Tribolium castaneum: one gene and its partner. Each later gene encodes a partner of the first gene's protein in a complex. Links are inferred from orthologs where the notes say so. Each region holds a gene or a part of one and is shown in the gene's direction. Other genes may lie near its edges. The genes, in order: nuclear RNA export factor 1 and Nxt1.

Region 1 (11,778 bases):
CTGCGACCGGCTTTGTATTATACACTCGTATTATTTATTATTTTTGGTTCGACCCGTCAGGGTCTAGGCTTAGTTGAGATCTCTACTTTACCAAAAGGGTATTTTTTGTATTTGGACAACAAATAATAGGTGTAGATTTTGAACAAACTGTAAAAACTGTATTCTAGTCTTTTGCAATATTTGTAATTTTACACAGTTTGCTCAAACGCAGCAATATGATTGTACTCTACCATTCAAATAGAAGTGAACTGTATGGTGTAGTTTAAATAAAACCACCGATTATTACAATTAGTAACAGCTGCACTGGTCTTGGAACACGTCGGACGAGCAGCACCGCCTCTGACTCAACCAGCAGTGGTGCTTGATTATCTCAGCCGCGCGCTCCGCCATCATCATGATAGCCCCCTGGGGGTTACCGCTGGGCAAGCTGGGCAAAACCGACCCGTCAACAACGTACAATTTATTGGTGCCTTTGACTTGAAACCCCTCGTCAATCACGCGCCCCAAAGCGCACGTACCAACAGGGTGGTAACTTGATAACGTAAAATGGCGGACATAACACACCCAATAGGGTCTAGTATCAAACTCAAGTCCCTCACAACCGGGGAACTTGACCGCGTTCAGCTTAGCCCCCAGGCGGCGCATTGGCGGCGTCTCCAAAAACTCCTTAACCAGCTCAATCCCCTCCAAAAGAATATCAACATCGTACCCCTCCGCCAAATAATTCGGGTCAATCAAAGGCGGCGTTCTGGGGTCTTTACTTTTGAGCCTCACGGTCCCCCGACTTTTCGGGTGCAAAACAACCGGGAGCACGGTCATAGTCGAGCCGTTCACTCGCCGAAAATACCTCTCCCAGAGTCTCTCCCCGATTCCCACCAGCCCCCTTAAGTAGGAGCCCCCGTCAATGGCGGCCCCATACGGCAGAATCATGAACTGCAACTCGGGGATTTTCCCGTCCTCGCTGTTGAAAAACCCGACACTCTCGCACCCTGGACTGGTCCAGGGGCCCTCCCCCCACAGAAAATACCTGCTAGCGCTCCACGGCGACAGCATTTGCTGCAGGCCCATGTCGGGGGGCGCTTCCAGCGTGATGAGGTCCAGTCCGGTGGTTACGTGGTCTTGCAAGTTGTCGCCGACTGGTAGGTCAAGTCTGGGGGCTATTTTTAATTTCTCCAAGTGTTTTTTGGGGCCAATGCCCGATAACATGAGGATTTTTGGGGAGCCGATCACGCCGGCCGATAGAATCACACCCTTGGTGGCACGGACGTAGTAGGTTTCGTCCAAGTGGGTGTATTTCACACCGTAGGCCTCGTAGTTGGATTTTAAGAGGACTTTTTCGACTAGAGAGTTAGTTATGACGACTAGATTGCGTTTTTTGGTTTTTTCTAATTGGTGGTAAGGCGTCCAGCGCTGGCCGTTACGCATTGTTACTTTAGTGGCCGAAAAACCTACAATTTTTTAATGAATTGGGTCTCTAACTGGGGGAGCCGGCGCTGTCCACTGGAGCCTTTTTGCCTTTTGCAAAATAATTTTCCGAAAATACAAAAAATACAGTTATTTCATTTAGATAGTTATAAAAAAATGTTATTTTCATTCACGTATGTCAGGACTAACTCTTTTTGCTTAGAGACATTTGAAAGTTTCGTCATATAGCTAAACAAATGGCTGAGAAAAAGATGATAACATTATAAATTCCACACAAAAAGGAAAAAATGTCGTTGGAATGTTCGAAATCACTTGGTATTGTCAGTGAGTTTCTAAATCAAAAATCATCTGGCATTGAGAATTATGTGAGATAACTAGTTCAGTTTGTTTAGAATTGACAATCAGACCTAGTTTGTTGATTTTTAAATTTTTTGCGACAATTTAAAAAAAAAACACAAAAAGTTCTCCAGCTGGACAGCGCTGTTCTAGTGTATGTACCAGGCTCTGAGTTCACCCCGTCTGATAGGCCAAAGCCGAGACACAACCCGGCTTGCAGAAAATAATCCGACAAGTTCGACTTAAACGGCATATCCTCCACGAAAACTGAACATTTGTGCTTGTTAGTTTCGTTGCTTTCCAGTTTTTTGAAGTAGGGAAGAACGTCGATCGTGTAGTTGAAATTACAGGAATCTTTATACCACTCGGCGAAGTCTTGGGGGTGTCCCCGGACGTAAATCATGTTATTTAACATCGCCGTGCCCCCCAGAATCTTCCCCATGGGCCAATGACTTACTTTTTTGTCAAGCCCCAAACAGGCATGTTTCTGGGGCACCGTTCGGTACTGCCAGTCAAAAACCGAGTCTTGTAGCATGAGACTAACAGTCGGGATTTGCAAAATGCCATTTCCGCTAGCCCCAGCTTCAATTAGCAAAACTTTAACGCTGGGGTTTTCGGCGAGTCTTCGAGCGACGATGCTTCCAGCTGAGCCGCTCCCGACTGTCTCAATTTGAGTAATTTTGTTAAAACTGGGCGTCTATACCAACCTACAATGTAATCGTAGGCCTGGTCCTTGAAATCCAGCTCTCGACAAGCGAAGCACTCAAAGTAGTTGTGAAAGTACACAAATCTAAGGTATAGCCCGAATAGATTAACAGCGAGAACGTAGACACTTATGTAGAACGCAGGGTTGGAGCAACACATTGTGTTTAATTCAATTTTACACGGAAATTTTGAAATAAAAAAAGGCCGAAAATTGTCAAAAGTGAGGTTATGCCAAATAGAAGTGAGGTTACAACTAAACCACCTGTCAAGAAGTTTATTTAAATTTGTCTGGGTTATTTAGTGCTGAAAAACACGCGTAATGTTTGATTTCTACTAATTGATTTGATGCACGTCTGTAAATATAACGTATGTTTTTAATTTAATTATGAGTCTAACTTAATTAATCGTACTTTGCCCACAGGTGTTAGAATCTGATGCAACATTGTGCTAAAATACTTATTAACTTATGGGATTTATTATTTACTGTATTAATTGCTAGATAAACGCACCGATTTTGTCGATTCTGGGCCATTGTCATAACTGAGGTTATGTGCCACATCGCCTTAAAATGACCACATCGGAATCAAAAAAAGAATTAGTTAATGAACTGAATAAGAAGTACGGTAAAGATTTATTAAATTACGAAAAATGTAAGAAGATCTATGAGCAATTGCAACAAAACAAGTCTGAGATTGAAAGACAGGTTTTTAATGCAACTCCCCAAGTTCCCACCCCTTAAAGTGTGATTTTTAGTTAAATTTAAACGATGAGTCATCTTCGATTGGTAAAGTTGTCAAAGAGGCGGAAATTGCGGCACAAAACACTGATCTTTGTTTGGAAAGAACTACCGATGTTATTGACGAAATTAAAGCAAATCTCGTTGAAGTTGAAGATGTGAGGCGAGATGTGCAGAAACGTCTTGATAAATTAAATGCCTTACAAACAACCTTCCAGTACTTTAAAGTCATACAGAGAATTGAGTTTTTGAGGTTGGTCACACTGTAGTTTTTCCCCTCGCAATAATCGAATTTTAGCGACGAATTAGAACGCGAATTTAAGAAAAAAGACGATGAGCAGTGCGTCACAATTTTTGCGAATTTGTGCGAAATCAGCCGTAATTTAACTGATTTTCAAGGTAGCAATTTGAGGAATTATCTCAAGGACACTCTACACTATTGGCACAACGTACTAAAGGAAAAACTAGCAAAGTAACTGGTCTGATTTATCATTCGAGTCTTTATCTAACATTTTAGAGATTTCGATGACGTAATGAAATCACTCAAATGGCCATTCGTTAGTGCAAACTTCAGTCTACAAACGCCCTCTCCTAACAGCATTCTGAAGCTACAAATTGTGGCAGAATATCTGCTCCAAATCGAACTTCCAAGTGAGACAATTGATCCGAGGATAACTTCGGCCCTTTTGAGCGATTTTCCACCCCTTTGTCTCCCAGTTATGCTCCTAGTCCAACCCTTAAAGAAACGGTTTTTGTACCATTTCTACGGCGCCCGTCAGACCAACAGGCCTGATAAGCCCGAATGGTACTTTACCCAGATTTTAACATGGATCAGGGACCATGCCGAATTTTTAGTCAAGTGGATTCAGCCGGTGATTGATAAATTGGGGCTCCACCACATTGACGCCAAAGTAATTTTCTCTATTTAATTGTTTTTTTTATGATTAAGTTCTAATAATAAAATTTTGTTTGACAGTTGGAATTCATCAGAGGCCTTGTACAGTTGGCTGTGGAGAAGCTAAACTCTGATTTGCCTAACTTACAATTTGACGATTTCACTTTTTCGCACTCTATTGACGAAGCTCTTGGCTTTGATAAAGAATTGCGTGAAACCTACAGTTATCCACCGACGCAGCCGAGTATTTTAGCCGTTTTAACTCAAGCTAAAATCATTATTAAGTGGATGGCTATGGAGAAAAAATGTGAGTTGGCGTGAGTTCACAGCCTCCTTAAATTTAAATTTAAAATAAGAAGGAGGTTGTGCGACCAATCGCCTAGGAGATAATTTGTTCTGATAATATTTTGTCAGATGCTATGGAAAAAATGGACGCGATGATGTCCTCAGCCACAGTCGATCCTTTCGAGCCGCTAACTTACGATATTGAAGAGCTGAAAATAACAACATGTGCCGATGCTTTTATAACGCTTCTTCAGACAATCACGGAACGTTACGAGGCATTGCCACAACCCGGCCACCGCTTGCAGTTCTTAGACCTCCAGTTAGAGTTACTGGATGATTTTAGAATAAGATTATTGCAACTGGTTAACGCGGAACATGAAAATATAGTCGAATCGAAGATCCCCACGATTGCTAACACGATCTATTACATCGAGAATGTTTTAGTTGATTGGGGGGCAATGTTGGTACGGCTGGCTCGAACCGTGCGATTTGATTGGCTGAACGCAGACTTTCAGCCAATCAAATGGCACTATCTATACTTATGCAAGTGTTTCAGCACTATTTGAATTTATACTACTACAAAAGCCAGTTGAATGACTACAAAGCACCCACAAGCCCGTCAAGTGATTCGGACGACTTTGACCCCACGGATATTGAGGGTGAAACTGTTTTTGCCGAAACTTTATCACTCTATAGGCACATGAGACGCGACTTGTTATTTAATTTATCAGATTATGTCATGTTGGAAGTCAGGTCACAAGGTAAAGCCTACAGGAGGGAAAGGTGGTCCTCTATGAATGTCGGTAAAGACATCAAAGGCCTGTCTTTAACACCCACAGCCTGCCCTATTTTCGAAATCGTGGCTAAACGACTACACCAACTGCAAAAAACTCTAGCTTCGAAACTTTTTACGATAGTTTGGCGCTCGGTTGCGCAACAATTAGATAATTACCTCTTTGAGGATCTTGTCCTTGATAATAGATTTAACACTGGAGGCGCTTTGCAGTTAAAGTATGACGTAACAAGGAATTTACTGCCGTTATTTTCGCAATATACCGAAAGGCCCGAAACGTATTTCGTCCAGTAAGTTATTTACTCAGTCGGTAAAGTGGAAAATAAGAACTGTTGCAGACTGATTGAAGCTTGCAATCTTTTAAATATAACTAAAGGGTCCGCTTTGCTACTACGAGAGACTCTCTTGGCTCTTGAGGGGGCCACAGGTATTGAGGACTCCCGCGGGAGAGCCCTCAAGGAGGTTGGGGTGGTCAGCTTCACCCCAAAAATGGCCGTTAAGATTCTAAACCAGCGCACCGACATTACTGTTAATAGGATGGACGTTGATTGAAGCATTTATACGTTTTGTTGAGAAATTTTATAATAAATGTTTTCCCCACCATTGCATTTCATTGAATCACCCTGTAAGTGAATCTAGAGTAGAGTATAAAATGTTACTTCTGGGCCAGAATATTTGGCGTCTTAAAAAACAAGTCAGAACCTTACAAATTTCCTGTACTCTACTATTCAAAAGTCGGTGATTTTCTCAGGGAATTTGGCCTCGCCTTGTTGGCAGCGCGTATCAATGGCGTTTACTTGTCGAAAGTGAAGTGGTGTTAAATCAGGCTCAAAAAAATTATTAAAAAAACAATAATAGTTATAGTTAAGTGCTAGTAAGTAATTGAGACGCTACTATGGCCTCAAAGGGCGGAAAATACAACAAACCGTCGTGGAGAAGCCAATACAGTGGTAAGTCCCCAGCACACTCCACGCGATTCGTTTAAAACGCAGTAAATTGCCAGAGCATGATTTTCGCGGCGGTGGCGAGACCCGCAAAGTGAGTTTCAAGTCAAACAAGTATAAAAAGGACAATAGAAACTGGGCAGCGGCGAGTAGGGCGTACCTGGAAGATGAAGACATTGACATGGGGGCCTCGTCCGGGGGCGGGCGAAACTTCAACCGGAAGCAGTTTAAAGGCAGACGGGGCGGTCGCGGGGACTCGCCCGTGCCCAATCACAAGAAACGGCGGCTTTTGGAGAGCCCCTTCGGTTGGTACCGCGTGACAGTAAGTGTATTAAGTGAGGCTTTTTGGGGGTTTTACACGTGTTTTGCTAGTTGCCGTTTGGGAATAAATACGAGAAGGCGTTCGTCTTGAAGACGCTGCTCGAGCGGATCCAACCTTTGCCCTTGTGGCCAATTACGGTAATGGTTTGTTTGTGTGAGGGTTTTTGACTGATTTTTTGTCTCCAGTGGAGTGTAAACGGCACAACTGCCACTTTTTACATGGATGAGTTTAAAGCCGCGGAAAAGCTGTACGATTTAGATCGCCAGATTCAAATGCCCGACGGGTTTAAATTGCTGATTAAGGTCAGTCATGGGATGCCAAATGTTGACGTTAATAGTGAGATGAAGGAGAAAATTAAATTAACGATGGCTAAGCGGTACAATGCCGCTAATAAAGCGCTCGATTTAACGAAATTCCACGCCGACCCTGACCTACAAGACAATTTCTGTGTACTGTTCAAACCGATCATTTTTCTAACAGTTTTGGAAATAATCGCGGAGAATATCCCAGAAATTGAAGCGATTAATTTATTCGATAACAAAATAGCAAACTTGTCGTATTTAAAGAAGACCAATGAGAAACTGCCCCATTTAAAAATTTTGCATCTAGGAAATAATAAGGTAATGTTGTTGCCCAAAATCGGGGATTTTGTAAATTTGGGGATTCAGTTTAAGGATCTGTCAATGTTGGACCCTTTTATTGGACTACCTATCGTCGATATTGTTTTAAATGGAAATCCATTATGCAACAAATACAAGGACCAAGAGGCGTACATTGGGTAATGTTGAACTAATTTATTTTTTGTAGTCATCATGTTATGAACGTGAATGCATATGAGGGTGACTGGTTATCGGAGATTGTCACTTGAATAAAAAAGAGGTTTTCTGCCAACAATGGAATAAAAGTACTTGAAAATTATTAACGAAATTTGTTGTTACGCAAATTTCAAAGTCCCAAATTTTCGCGATAATTTGTTTAAAACTTAAGTAGCATTACATGTGGCTTCGTTGCATTGTGGCTGAATTCTGCATTTGGCAACCTTTTAATATTATTGTTTGACTATAATTAAGTCACTGAAGTGTATAAAAATAAAAAAAAATCACATACAAACATTTCCATGGGATTACATAATTTTTGTTTTGTATTATCAAAGTGAGAGGAGGTTTCTCAAAGGTGCGTCCTTACAGCAGTTACGAAGCTTCGTAAAGCGATAGCTGGACAAGCATTGCAAGATTTTGCTGTCCATAAACAATGCAGTTAGTTTAAGAAGACAGAAGAACTACAAGGAGTGGACCAGAACACTTAAATGTGTATGTAATTTGGCAAAAATGCTTGTAAATCAAGCAGATTGTCTTGTTTTTCTGCACCTTAAACAATCAATGACTCCTCATAGTACAATAATTATTATATTTTTTTGTTTTATGTAGTAATCTTATGGAATTGATACAAGACATAATAATGAAAAGAAATACTAAATAATACCGTTAAAAAATTGAAAAATTATATGCTCTTCAGTGGCGATTTATTCTAAATTTATTAGTTTTGTTGTTTAATGCAGGAGTAATATAAATTGTTGATCGTGTAATGCTGTTTTAGTTTTAAATTTACGAAGCTTGTCTTACTTTGAAATTGTGTAACAACTGTCTGATCGGTTGCAAAATTCCTCGGAGGTTTAATTCCCAAAATAACAAACTTCAATAAATTTTGATTGTTTAACACTTTGTACAAAATTAGATTTTCGTAAGTTTTTGAATTAAACTGAAGAGGGCACAAAATACTGGAGCTATTGTATCCTATTTTTTTTCAAATAAATAATGTGTTAGGAAATGAGAAGTGGCTGAAAATACGGTACAAAAATCACTAACTCAGAATTTGTGACTAAATCAATTTCCGTTCCTAGAAAAAAAATCAGCATAAAGCTGTATTTATTCTTTTTCATTTACATAATAATTTTTTTTTCGCCCAAATACTTCTTGAATGAGTTTATCCCACTAATTCACAATTGTAACATAGTTATAATTCCGTTCCTAGAAAAAAATTCAAAATAAAGCAGTATTTCTTCTTTTTTTATTTACATAATAAAATATTTACAACATATTTACATAATAAATTATTTTTGCTTAAATACTTGAATGAGTTTCAACGTTTCATCAAGGGTGGATTTTATAATCGTCAGATAAACCCCAGATAATTTATTTCTAGTATAATTACTATGGTTACAATTGTTATAACAATGTATTTTTCAAAATTTATTTCTTAGATAAAGTAATCCTACGATTGTAAAATCCGCCCTAAATGAAAGATAAAAAACGAAAAAGGGATGTCCCTAAGGGTGCTTCATCCAAATTGGAGCAGGTGTATAGTACAATAGTATCCTGTGGCACCATTAGGGGATTAGATAGACTGGCTTTTTTGCAGAACTTTGTGCTTCAAGACTAGAATAAAATCCTAAACGATTATAAAAGAAACAAAGCATGTTCCATTGTCCGAAATCTAATCGGATTGATTCCGAATTCTTGAAACGTAGCGAATAGTTCTCGTGAGATTTTCAAGTATTAACGTGTTGAGATCTTTGTCAATTCAAGTTAAATGTACTCGAAGGAGAACGTCTTCGATTTCCTGATCGTCACAAATTTCTTATTAGATTCTAGACATCTTCATTAAATTTTCTTGTTTTGTTCGTTACGAAAATAGTCACACGTTCTGAGTTTACGCTTCTCTTTTCTGTCACATTGACTCGCTTAAATTTCGATCAATTTGTCAGTCTGATTCCATTTTGACTAAAACCTCTTGTTTTTCATCTAAACATAAATGCTGAGCAAATCTGCCACCTCCATTGTTAACACCTTCGGGTGACTTCTTCTCTTTCCGCAGTGAAGTCCGCAAACGCTTCCCCAAAGTAATGAAACTGGTAAGTTTATTTAATTTGCTTGTTCGCCTCTTCATAAAACCATTCAAAGGACGGAATCGATCTACCCCCACCCATAAGTTTCGACATTCAGGAAGAAACCCACTTACCACCAATCCAACAAACATTTTTATGTAACCAAGAGGGCGAATCAATAGTTCGACAATTCCTCGAACAGTATTTTCTAATTTTCGATTCGGAAAATCGCCAACCCTTGTTACAAGCATATCACGAAAGCGCCCTATTTTCAATGACCATGTCGTACCCGTACGGACACAGAGACAAGAATGCCAGTTGGCTAAACTGGTACACCACTGATAGCAGGAATCTGCAAAAGGTCCAAGACCCGGATCGGAGAAACAAACTACTGAAACAGGGCCAAGTGGCTGTTGTTTCATTTCTGCAAGAAATGCCTCGGAGTAAACACGATATTCACAGTTTCACGGTTGATCTTGTTGTTTTTACGGTAAGTCGAATTTTGGTTTCGTCAAGTTGGTGATAACGTTGCTTCAGCCATTAATGATCGTTTTAACGGTCACTGGGATGTTCAAAGAACTGAAAAGCGGACACAAAGTGCCTCCGACGCGAGCCTTTTTCAGAACACTCGTTATAGTACCTGCAGGCTCAGGTTTCTGTATCTCGAATGAAACACTGCATATTACAAACGCCACCGACGAGCAAGCCAAGGTTTGTCGATTAATAACTTGAAGAAAAAATGTTGTATTGTACTCGTGATTTTTTTAGCATATTTTCAAGACTGTGGTTTCGGCGCCGCCCCCGACTCCGGTGGCGTCGCCTGTGGCAACCCCTGCGCCCATTGACGACTCCACGAGGCAACAGATGGTCACCGCAATGGCCGAACAATCCACCATGAATTTGGAGTGGTCAAGGAGGTAAAATATAGATGTGGATTTACGTTTGGCTAATTTGATTACTGCCAGGTGTTTGGAAGAAACCCAGTGGGATTTTACCCGAGCGTTGAGTGCGTTCGCAGATGCGCAAAAACAAGGACTAATCCCGCCTGAAGCGTTCGTGAAATAGTGAAATAAATCGAATTAAGTCATCATGTTGTTCTTTTTATAAAATTTGTATTTGATAATGTTTATCATTAGTTTTATTACAACTGTAAATAAAAACACTCGATTATGTTTGTGAATGAAGCTTAATTTCAATGAGACTGTGTCAGTTATTTTTATAATAAATAGTGAATAACAGGAGTGTTGTTTTATTTGGGGTGATTTATGCCAGAAAAGTGTGTTATTTAACACACTTGTGCGAAGGGAATACGAAAGCTCTGCCTCATTTAATATCAGAAACATAAAAGAGTAATAAGTGTCAAGCGGAGTTATTTATTGGATAAGGGGTTTGGAGTTAATGAAGCTATTACGTTTATATTTCGATAATTTTGGGCTTGGAGTTATCTGATTCAGGCCATATTTCGAATTACTGGGTGATTTAGGACTGTCTGCTGCGTGAAAATTAGACCAATATTTTTGAACTTGAGGAAATGCTTAATTTAATTTATGATTGCTAATTTTTTATTATTACATAATTACTAACTCAAGGTAAGTTTGGGAAAAAATACACAATTGTTTATCTCAGGAAAAAATCTTCAATAAAATATTAATCATAACATTTAATCATAATTCCCAAAATGACTGGGAGATAAAGACAATATTCAGAAATACGAACTGAACAAGACTTTAGATTATTTGCCATTAAAAAATAAGACAGAAGCCTGAAAATATGGCTGTTCTCCCAAAAGAAAACAACTGAAAAAGGCCTCAAACCCTTCAAAAATCATTAATTTTTATTCACTCTTAAAGTACCTAAATATCTGAAGATCCAAAACACTTAGAAAATGCCTTGTAAACACAAAAACTTCCCAGATAACATTGGTGAATTCACAATAAATTCACAGTGGAGAAAAATGCTCTACAAATGAGTTCACGATGAATTCAGATGCGAAGTCACCATGAAATCACGCGTGAGACATTTTTCCTCACTGTAAATTCAAATACATCTTTTTTTATTCAAAAAAACACCCCAAAATGACTTTTTCTCTGGGCCAGGACATTTGGCGTCTTCAAAAAATAAGACAGAACCCTGAAAATTTAGCTGTTCTCCCAAAATAAAACTACTGAAAAAGTATTAACTTTTATGCACCCCAAAAGTACCAAAAATTGGGCGGTGTTTTACAAACAATAACGAAAAATAAAAAAAAACATTTTTTCCTGTTTGTTGAGAGAATTTTAGTCGTTTTTTTCAACCCTCCAACTTACAGCTTAAAAACCCGCTTAATAAATGAATTTAAATTTTTTGAAAGGTAAGTATAATGTTACAGGGTGTTACATATCCAAGTAATATAGTCAAATTACGCAAAAAGTTGAGACGAAAATAATAAATGCCTAAATTGAATTACTTATTTA
Region 2 (10,151 bases), on another chromosome or scaffold:
TCAGGGAATTCGTTAGTTATAAATTGGAAGATGTTTACAAAAGACTGACTTCTAAAGAACCAATCAGTGCACATGAGGCCGAAGGCGATGTTACGATGCTAGTCACTTGTGCGGCGGTTTATGGCGAAAAATTCGTCAAATATGCAAACGATAATTCGAAAAGACTGTCAGAAATTCCAGCCATGACGCCCGGCAGAAGAATTGGATTTTAATGATTTTATCATTTTTTTATTTTATTTATACTGACTAATATGTGTGTTATGTAGTGCCTTATTTTTGGCGTAAGTATAAGAAGGATTATTGATATGTAAATTTAGCTTTTAATATGTAGTTTTTTTTTCTAAAACTTCTGATCAAAGTGACCTGTGACGTTCGGTTTGACTGTTTATGTTGCCAACTTAACTTCACTAAGGCCACTTTGATCAGAATCTTTAATTTTATTTATACAAGAATGTATAAAAATATTGATTAAATAATGACACAACTTGAAGTTTGGGAGGCCGGTAATGCAGGTAATGCCTCTGCCATTACATCCTCTCCTTGAATATATTTGGTATATTCCTCCTTGGTCACTACAAACGAAAATTGAGTCGTATGACTTTTTTCTCCTAAAACTTACGTAAATGCTTGGCAATATTCTCTGGATTATTTTCAATATCTTTGATAATGTAACCGATCCGGTTACTGATATTATTCAAAGTTATTGGCGCTAGATGCCCTATTAGATTGTTTTTTCTGCACCAGTAGTAAGGAATTGACTGGTCTGCGATAAATTCGTTGTACTCTCGCAATGTGGTCATAAAAACTTCCCTCAAGGATTTATTCCAAAAACTCTGATCTTTCTGCTCAATGATATGTAAAAACACAGTCTTAATGTAATAACTGGCAATGTTTGGGTGCGTCTTCTCCTTCAATTTCTTAAAAAAAAATTAATACTAATGAAAGCCAGGTTTGAATCGCACCTTGATTAGCTTAACCGCCGGTTTTAACCGATTTTTATTATCGATCAGCACTCTTTCCTGCTCCTGGAACGATAAACTCCAGTAGCGTCCTTGGGGATTCACCGGTCCTTGCGGTTTTTTCGGAACAATGAAAAATTCCGGCTAAAATTACAATCAATGATTTTCTCTCTCAAATGACATTAACCTTCGTTGACGGGAAGGGGTTGCTTCTGTAGCCATTAATCGGCCATTTGTCTCCAGAAAAAACGAAACAGGCCACTAAATCAACGTCCATAATTTTCTCCCCTGAACTGTGGGAAATCCCCAGTGTCATTGCAGGCCCGCCTTTCCACCAATTAATCTACAAATAAAATAGTTTTGTGTTAAAATAAAATTTAAAACAACCGTACATGAAACGTTCCAAATTCGTTTGTTAACTCGCAGGTGGCGTTGTTAACCCAAGGCAGCGTGTTTAGGGTTTTCTGGACCAGGCTTTCCATCCAACGTAGTGTTTTCCCAGTGTCTAGGAAATCGTTATCGGCTAAAAATTTTTTTCGAAAGTCTTTGTAAACCCGCCCTTCCGGTTGTCTCAACCACCCGTCAAGGTTGTTTAATTTGAGCCAAACAAAGCCCGGAACGTTGCTTTCATTTAAGACGGGCTGAGCATATATAGGAATGTGCAAAAGTATGTCCAGGTCAAATTCTTCAGGCTTGCCAACCTTCAAACCGTCATAAAAACTACCACCGTAGAAAACGCGCCTGAAGAGGGCCTTAAAAAGGGGGTCTTGAGTCTTCATTTGCTCAACAAATGTGCGCAACACCTGGAACAACTCGTTTTTTTTTGGAAGATGACTTTTTGGTACTTACAGATTCAAGAATTTGTTTGTTACCGCGTACATCTTCTTCTGGAAGTGAGATAAATCTCTTGTTGATGTCGTTCAAGATGTTTTCCATTTTGACGCAAAAATGTGGCAAATAAATTGCTAACTATAAAATTAAAATGCACGAAACTTGACCTTGCAATGTTTCAGTGTTAAAAATAGAACAAATAACAACACAAATGGTCTAAAGCTTTGTGTGATTCCTGGAACATTACCTAACTCTTGCTTATCATTATCACAATTAAATTACTCTTGATAATATTAAAAAGCACATTATCTGCGAACCATACAAATAATAATATTTTTACAATTGATTGGAGTACGTATAAATAAATGGGAAATAAAAATTACAATAGAAGTTTCACCATCTTCTGGGCTTGTGGCCTAAGGTCATTGAATTTATTTTTCTATTTTAGTATGTTAGGCCCTCTATCATTGAGTAGCAGAACGACATGCTCTAAATTTCGGGACATTTGCATTCAGTGTCGCCAATCTGGCGCTTTTTCAGCTGCAGAAAATGTCCTTGTATTTTTCGAAATAACTTTTAATCAAATCATTTTATTGATTTGCCGCAGTAGCAACATTTCGTAAAAAATACTGCATTTTGACCAAATTTACTAAATAATGTATTCGATAAAATTTACTGACTTTTTCAGAAGTTTTTGATTAATTTTGCAAAACATTTCGATAATAAAATAATAAATAAATAATAACAAGTGTTTGTTTTTTTCTTTTTTAGACTTTTTAATAAAGAAGACTATAACTTAGGAGGCGCAGAATTTTCGGAACCCAAAAAAATAGTACGGCTAAGTTAGAATGAGGGCGCCAGATCGATTTAAATTAATTTAAATCTTACCAATTCATTAGTTATATAGAAAAAAATGCAAAAATATTAAACGTTGGAGATTAAAATTTTTGTTAGAAAATGAGAAAAAAACTATTTTTTTAAAATATGGTTGGAGTTACTAGAAAAATATTAAGAAGAAATTTGTAGAAAATTACACGTTTTTGAAAACTTTCCAATCTAGTGGCTTCGCTACTGAAAGTTTGGCAATAACTTAAGGCGGCTTCACGCATTCTTTTTTTACGTGATTTCCATTAATTATGTATGGAAAATGACCACGTTTTTACAATTATTTTCACCAACAGAAAATTTGCATTGTAACACTGTTTGAAATTGTCTTACGTTGTGTGAACCTTACTTTAGACTTTACACTGACGTCATCACCAGTTTTCGCGCCTTTTTCGCCCAATGACCGCAACACGCATGCGTAAAGCGTTTAAACTGAGCAACAATCCCAAAACGATCTATAGCTCTTAAGTGAAAAGTGATTTTCCATTTTCGAGTGATTTCGAACTGTTTTTAACTAAATAAACAAAGATTTTCTCTAGTTGGAAGCACCAGTTGACACCAGTCGTTTGTGGCAATGTCTGAAATAAAAACTTTCGTTTTTTTCGACTTGGAAACCACCGGTTTGCCCAAGTTTGAAGAGAACAGGACCCGAATCACCGAATTTTGTGCAGTGGCAGTTAGAGCAGATCATATTGGACTGCAGACTGCACAGAAATGTAAACTTCCAAGAGTTCAAAGTAAATTATCTTTGTGTTTCAACCCTGCGAGGGCCATTTGTCCTCAAGCCACCAAACTAACCGGTAAATTATTGTCTCCTATTTTAGTGTGAGCTAAAAGTGTGATAATATAAACTTTCAGGGCTCAGCAATGAATTACTGGAACACCAGGCACACTTTTCGAGTCAAACCTTGAATGTGATAAAAAACTGGTTAGATGTAAATGAAAAACCAATTTGTTTGGTTGCACACAACGGAAACGAGTTTGATTTCCCAATTCTGAGGGCAGAGATCGAAAACACTGGCGAAAATCTCCCCGAGGATATTCTCTGTCTTGATTCCATTATCGCATTTAAAGAGATTGATACTTTAGAGGGAGGGGCGGTAATAAATCAACCAAATGAAATAAAAATACGAAAAATTGAGTAAGTAATGATGTTTATAATTGTTGACAATAACAAAAATTTTTTTTTAAATTTCAGCACGAGTTATAACTTGGGACATGTTTTTAAAAGACGCCTTTCCAAAAGACCACTCAATGCCCATGGGGCTGAAGGCGATGTAAACATGCTACTCGCTTGTGCGGCAGATTATGGCCAAAAATTCGTCAAATTTGCTAACGGGAATTCGACAAAATTCTCGCAAATGCCAATTATGAAACCAAAGTTTTGATTTTTACGACATTTTCATTAACACAAAAATGTTTTTTATGCTTTTATAATAACTGATTAAAGAATGTTGCAACTTAGTGTTTGGTATCACTGGTATAGTTCCCCTGCCCTCGCAAAAAACACTAAATTCTTCCCGTCTCAAAAAAATTACCCCCCGATGAAAATTAACAATTACTGTGAAACTGCTAGAAGTAGATTTTTACAATATTATTTCAAAAATCAATAATCATACAAAATTGAGCGTTTGCGGTTAAATACTTTTTCATACTTTTTTTTGAGCTCTACAATAAGTCTCAAATTATTGTCCAGCAATAAGTAGGGCTTACAGCTTCATTACCGCGTAGTTTAATACCCTTGTTTTTCTTTAAAAAATAAAAAAATGCTTAATTACCCGCATTATTTAAATTTCCCGCCGACGCAAGCTTTGACGCGCTTGCGCATTGTCCCAAAACAAATTTGTGCAAATAACCTCACTTTTTTGCCCCCAATGTTTTAATAATTTTGGCGTAATTACAACAAATATGACTCAGGTAGCGTCAAAAATACGACCACCAACACTTTGCCTCTCCAATTACTTAATTTTACAGATTGTTAAAAGCAAAATCGACCAAGCTTGCCGGGTGGCTGAGGAGTTCACAAAACTTTATTACGAAACTTCGGACAAAAGGCGACACGTAATTCGCCCCCTCGTGCGTCAAAACGCATAATTGAAATATTTTTTTTCTTCAGTTGATGTCGAAATTGTATCTGGATTCGGGTCTCCTGGCTTGGAACGGCAATGGGGTGAATGGTAACGAACGCATCCAGAAATTTTTCATCGATTTGCCGACTTCCGATCACATAATTAACACTTTGGACGCGCAGCCTGTCTTGGATTCGGCGGTAAATGGCCAGCTCACGTTCATGATCCAGGTCAGTGGAACGGTAAGGTACCAGGACAGGGTCCCCAAATCCTTCCAGCAGAATTTCATAATCACAGCGCAGGGCGATAAGTGGAAAATCGTAAGCGACTGTTTCCGACTGCAGGAGCCCCTAACTAACGATAAGAGTTGAAAAAATAAAAGTTTGTACGTTGAAACTCCATTTATTTCGTTTCATAAAAACAACAGGTATAAAATCCTTAAGCTACATTGATATTAAAAGCAAAGCGTAATGCCAGATTAATTGAAATGATACAATATGTACAAATAAATAAATGAGCAAAGTAAAAACAATCTACAATTTCAGTCTCAAGGGTTCGCGAATTTGGACTTTGTAAATCAAAGGAATGTGTTATCAAAACCAGTTCGTTACAGGGCACAGCCAGGACAGCTATTATATACAGAGTGAACATTTTCAGCCTTGACTTAAGGCAAAACATTTGAATTGTGCCGGCGTGATCACATTATTAACCTGAAATGTGCGGTAACAATAACTGATCCACATTTATTGGAGGACTAAAATTTTATACAGGGCGATTTTTTAAAACACAGGCGCTGGAGAATTTTTATTTATGGCCCGATTTCAAACACTAAAAATTACTTTTAATCGAGTATAAGCTGATACTCTTGTTAAAGTAATTTTGGGCTTATAATATTCAACTTTTTCTTTTTATAATCTAAAAAATATTAGTTTTTTTGTTCTCCTTTTGTACCTAACTTCTTTCAAAAACATTAAACAGAAAATCTCACCTTGGCACATAAAATTTGATCAGTTGTTTTAAAATTTATTAATTGTTACATGATTAATTGAAACATTATTTGCCTGAAATGTTTGGACGTGTTTTTGGTTTTGATGAACTTAAAAAACATGTTTAAACCTTGGAAACACACATTTTTGGCTCAATTCCGGCGATTTTTTTTGGCCATTATTTGGCTAAAAAACTGCTTAATAAATGCTATTTTGAGTGAATGCTTTACTCATTTCGGAGAAATTTTCGCAAAATCACTGCGTTTTTAGCCTACAAGATGAGTAAACACTTGAAACACGCAAAACTGAACAATTTCTGGTTGAAAATTTGCTAGATAGCTCTGAAAATCCAAAGAAAAATTTTTTTGTTTAGATTATAAAAACAAAAAGTTTAAAAAATGTGCCCAAATTTCCAGTAAAATAATTGGGTTTGTACCTGAAAAATGTCCTAAAGGCCATAAAATAAGCAAATTACAACTTTTTTTTATTTCGGGATTTTTCACCAAATTTTACTTATCAATTGAAAAATTATGTTCAAAAAAGCCAAAATAAAGCAATCTTCCACTGAAATTGATGATTTTTTTTGTTCGAAAATCCTAATATTAAAAACAAACTTAAAAGCTTGCTTCAATTATCAAAGAAGGCAAAAATTATCGTTTTCGAGGTTATTTCATGATTTTTGGGAAATTAACGCAAAAGGATTGGCTTCAGAATATGGTTAAACGCATAATAAATTCAAAACTAACTTCATTTTCAGTCTATTCGGTTTATTTCGCAAAATGACTTAATATTTCGATACATTTTTTGTTCACTTCTGAAATTTGTGTTTTCGAATTAATTTGGTGGAAATTCGGTTTATTTTTACAAAATTTTGCTAAAAGATGCTTTTCTGACCAAAAAATTATGCCCAAAAAAGAGAAAAAATATACTTTTGACTTGAATTTTTTCATTTTGAAAAATGTGTCAATTCTAAGCTTAAAACTGTACTTAAACCTCTACAGAAGACAAAAATTCACTAACTTCCACTCATTTTATTGATGTTTGATTGGTTTATTCGATTTTTACGAAATTTTGCTAAACGATGAAAATAATATTTTTTTGACTCAATTTTTTTTCGTTTTGAAAAATCTGTTAATTCTAAGCTCAAAAACTGTGATTAAACCTCCACAGAAGATAAGAATTCACTAATTTCCACCCAATTTATTAATTTTTGATTGGTTTTTGCGAAATAAATGCCGAAACAATACAGAACTAATTAGATTTTTTAATGAATTAATTTGGTAATTTTTCTATAAAAATTTGTCAAACAATTGCATTTCGGTTGGAAATCATTTAAAAAAGGCAAAATAACTCAATTTTAGTAATTTTTTTTGGTTCAGTTTTTGAAAATTCCACAAGAAGAATATATTTTATGCTTAAAAATATCTTTAAACTCTCATAAAAAGCAAAAATTACACCATTTGGAATAAAATCCAGTTGCATGGTGTCAATAGCTTTCTTTAAAATAAATTATTTTAGTTAAATAACAGATATTTGAAAAAATATTTTTCATACTTTCTTTTATTTACTACTTTTAACACAACAATAATGGCATTGGTTTTAACTTTTATTACTTTTTTCAAATCTATAAATTTTTTGTCAAAAAAGCTAAAATGTTTGAAATTATGAAAAGAAAATGGAAATTCTAATTTAAAATAACAAAGTTGTTATTTTACAGCCCAAAATATAAAGTGACGTTTAATGATTTTTTATTTTTTAAAATTGGGCCATAAAGAAAAACTACAGCGCCTGCCATTTTTTAAAAATCACCCTGTATATTTTATACAGGATGAATGGTGGTTTAATTCTGAAATGTCAGAAATAACCCATAATTGACTCACCCTGTACACATACTTTAGACCAAAATAGGCATTTAATATCATTGGCCCAAAACAGCAACAGATCTCTGAAAAAAAAAACAAACAAAAAAATTACACAGATACAGCGACGCTTCTCAGTCGAATTTCCTAATTTTGCTCTTCTGGGGGTACACTGGCGACGTCTAGATCAGGAAGCCCTCCTCCCACCGCCCCCTCGTCGTTATCGCCCCCCGGGGGCATATCCAAGGGGGCCATATCGAGCGGTGGCGGATCCGAAATGGTCACTGCAACAATAGGATTCCCTCTGGCGTCCAATTCCAAAGCTGGATCAGCGGTGGCTTCTGCCAGATTTGTGACACTTTTTGATTTAACACACTGGAAGTCAACGTGACGACTTTTCGCCTCCTCTTTCTCCCACGACATGTGGATGAACGGTCTTTGGACGTAATTGTAGATCACTTCGGCCCTGCCGCCTGGACGCTTCTTCACTTTTTCCTTATAGGTTGGATAACCTGAATTTGGAACACGACGCGTAACGGAGGGTTTTAATAAAATTAGATATACAGGCTGCTCAAAAACTGGCGCACCAACTCAGTGGTACGTTATTGAGAAGCAAGTGCAGATTACGGGAAAAATGTTGAAAAAATTCCTAAAGTTATATTTTAAAAAATCTGGAGCTACAAACTTATTGTGTTAACTTCTTTAGTTTTCATTATTTTTTTATGTTTTTATGTTTCACACCAGGTAATCGTTCCGTAACAAAACGATGAATAATTATTTTTAAATTTACTCTCAGATTTTAGCAGTTTTTTTAATTTAAAAAAATTAAAATTCATCCAAAAAATCACAATGTGTAGATGTGTCAACACTGGGAATTATTTCCTAGGAAACCGTTTCAAAAATAATTTATTTTTATTGTTGCTCAAATTCGGAAATAAAATTAACTAGACGCCCTCTGGTGATGACTTTTGAACTATGTCGAAAACAGTAAAGAAATTTTCGTAATGCCACATTTAACTGACATTTAATGAATTGTTCAACAATTTTGCGTGTATAGTGTTAATTATTTACAATAGAAAGAATTACTTTAAAAGTACGTGGTAGTAAATACTAGCGTTGACTTTGGTTCTGTAGTTTTTCGTGGTATAAAGTGTTTATTGTTGGAACTTGAAAGTGGATAAAATGTGAAAAATATTTAAATTTTGATTACAAAGTGTTATCAAACAGTTGTCTAATTAAGTAATTAAAGATTATAAGTAATGGATCAAAGCGAACACAAAGTTTGACTCAAGAAACCAATAAATTAGTGAAGTGTTATGAATTTTAGGTTAGAATTTTCCACTGAAAGAATCATGAAATGCTGCGGTAAATCTACAAAACTACAATAAAGATTAACAACTGCTGATACATTTAAACGTAAATTATGCCAAAAGGTAGGCTTTTCAATGTTTTTGTAATAATTTTCCAATAAAGAAAGTGAACCAAACAGTCATTCGTTATTCGTGTTTTCCTCGTCATCTCTCATTTGTCAACATAAGTTTCTTGCATCAAAGATGCAATAATCATTCCGCATAGGCAATGTAATAATTGTGAAGCCCCAAAATTCGTACAACGCTCAAAATATCCGAATAAACATTTTCCCGCCATTTATGGTTACTGTTTTCGACCTAGCTCAGTGGCGCCCCCAACGGTAATTTTACTTCCGAATTGCGATCATGACTGTTAGACAACGTTGCCACATATCATTTATCTAAAATCCGTTATTTATCAATAACTTTAATACAAAGAATTTTTTTACGATCTTTACTTTTATATGTAACCAGTTCTCTACCACACACCATTGAGTTGGTGCGACAGTTTTTGAGTACGCTGTATTTTTTACCTTCGATTCCGAGTCGAATTTTCTTCAAGCCTCGATCTTTCAACACTTGCTTGGCCACGTCTCTGTTTTCTATATATTTGAAGAATCTGTACATGGCAGTACTGTTGACAGTTTGACTGTATTCTTCGCCCATTTGTGGCGGGTATTGGTCGTCCCAGTCGACTGTATCGTCGTCCAAAAGAACGACAATGTGACACTCTCTGTCGCCTCTTTGGGCGGAATTTACCATGAGAGGAAGGATGAGTTCTTCGAGGAAAACTTCGAATTGGCAACGGGCGCCTTCATTGGACAGCTCGTGCAGTAAACCCCCTGGAAGTAAAACAATTCGTTCAATTTACACACTTTCGCAAACTTCTCACTTTTAATAACCGTATATTTATACATTTCATAATAAGGATATATTTGAATAAAACAAATAAAGCCGCCGGGAACAAGCCGTTAACGGTGCAACGGTTACTCTGATGACATTCCGTATTAGTAATCTAATTAAATGAGTATGAATAGCTTTTTTAAATAAACAATGTTTTATTACACAACAGGTGTAAAATATCTGTTATAGTTTTGTGTTTACCGAAGTCGAGGACAACCATGTGATAACAAGTTTTTATTTTATTTTGAAAGTACAATTTATTGAAGGTTTGAACTATACTGGGAACGGATGGCCGAAAGAAAAATTTTCA

Evidence for each region.
Region 2: the proteins of nuclear RNA export factor 1 (region 1) and Nxt1 are in contact, whole or in part, in a crystal structure (PDB 6IHJ), measured with the Drosophila melanogaster proteins. The link is inferred for Tribolium castaneum from reciprocal best matches to the Drosophila melanogaster genes sbr and Nxt1. Residues at the interface, in NP_524660.1 of Drosophila melanogaster: Leu359, Leu360, Glu361, Thr362, Lys363, Ala364, Ser365, Tyr366, Met404, Leu405, Ser406, Ile407, Ser408, Met409, Pro410, Gln414, Arg426, Asn427, Leu428, Arg429, Arg438, Thr439, Leu442, Tyr444, Thr467, Val468, Asp469, Thr471, Ile472, Met477; in NP_611833.1 of Drosophila melanogaster: Met1, Leu5, Val9, Glu10, Ala13, Asp17, Arg21, Thr43, Ser45, Trp46, Asn47, Gly48, Asn49, Gly50, Ile52, Tyr60, Leu64, Leu71, Asn72, Thr73, Leu74, Asp75, Ala76, Gln77, Pro78, Ile79, Val80, Asp81, Leu91, Met93.

Annotation. Positions count from the first base shown.
Region 1 is NC_087399.1:3,666,260-3,678,037, forward strand, and holds nuclear RNA export factor 1, read left to right. Parts: upstream 1-5,933; 5' UTR 5,934-6,070; coding exon 6,071-6,125; intron 6,126-6,178; coding exon 6,179-6,441; intron 6,442-6,491; coding exon 6,492-6,578; intron 6,579-6,626; coding exon 6,627-7,061; intron 7,062-7,109; coding exon 7,110-7,219; intron 7,220-9,315; coding exon 9,316-9,352; intron 9,353-9,401; coding exon 9,402-9,815; intron 9,816-9,862; coding exon 9,863-10,036; intron 10,037-10,093; coding exon 10,094-10,242; intron 10,243-10,290; coding exon 10,291-10,390; 3' UTR 10,391-10,563; downstream 10,564-11,778. Other genes in the region: alcohol dehydrogenase [acceptor], read right to left, coding at 289-1,448, 1,924-2,421, 2,469-2,625; Rint1 (RAD50-interacting protein 1), read left to right, coding at 3,035-3,169, 3,220-3,455, 3,501-3,674, 3,720-4,113, 4,179-4,404, 4,512-4,846, 4,939-5,465, 5,514-5,727. UniProt on the Drosophila melanogaster protein: Mediates the export of the majority of mRNAs from the nucleus to the cytoplasm. In ovarian follicle cells, plays a role in transposable element silencing regulation by enabling the nuclear export of flamenco (flam) transcripts and subsequent piRNA biogenesis.
Region 2 is NC_087394.1:2,874,172-2,884,322, reverse strand, and holds Nxt1 (NTF2-related export protein), read left to right. Parts: upstream 1-4,478; 5' UTR 4,479-4,583; coding exon 4,584-4,592; intron 4,593-4,649; coding exon 4,650-4,736; intron 4,737-4,791; coding exon 4,792-5,115; 3' UTR 5,116-5,145; downstream 5,146-10,151. Other genes in the region: three-prime repair exonuclease 1, read left to right, coding at 5-212; cyclic GMP-AMP synthase-like receptor, read right to left, coding at 469-572, 620-917, 963-1,103, 1,147-1,302, 1,352-1,762, 1,809-1,895; three prime repair exonuclease 2, read left to right, coding at 3,250-3,475, 3,534-3,816, 3,874-4,063; mri (BTB/POZ domain-containing protein 10), read right to left, coding at 7,737-8,101, 9,472-9,780.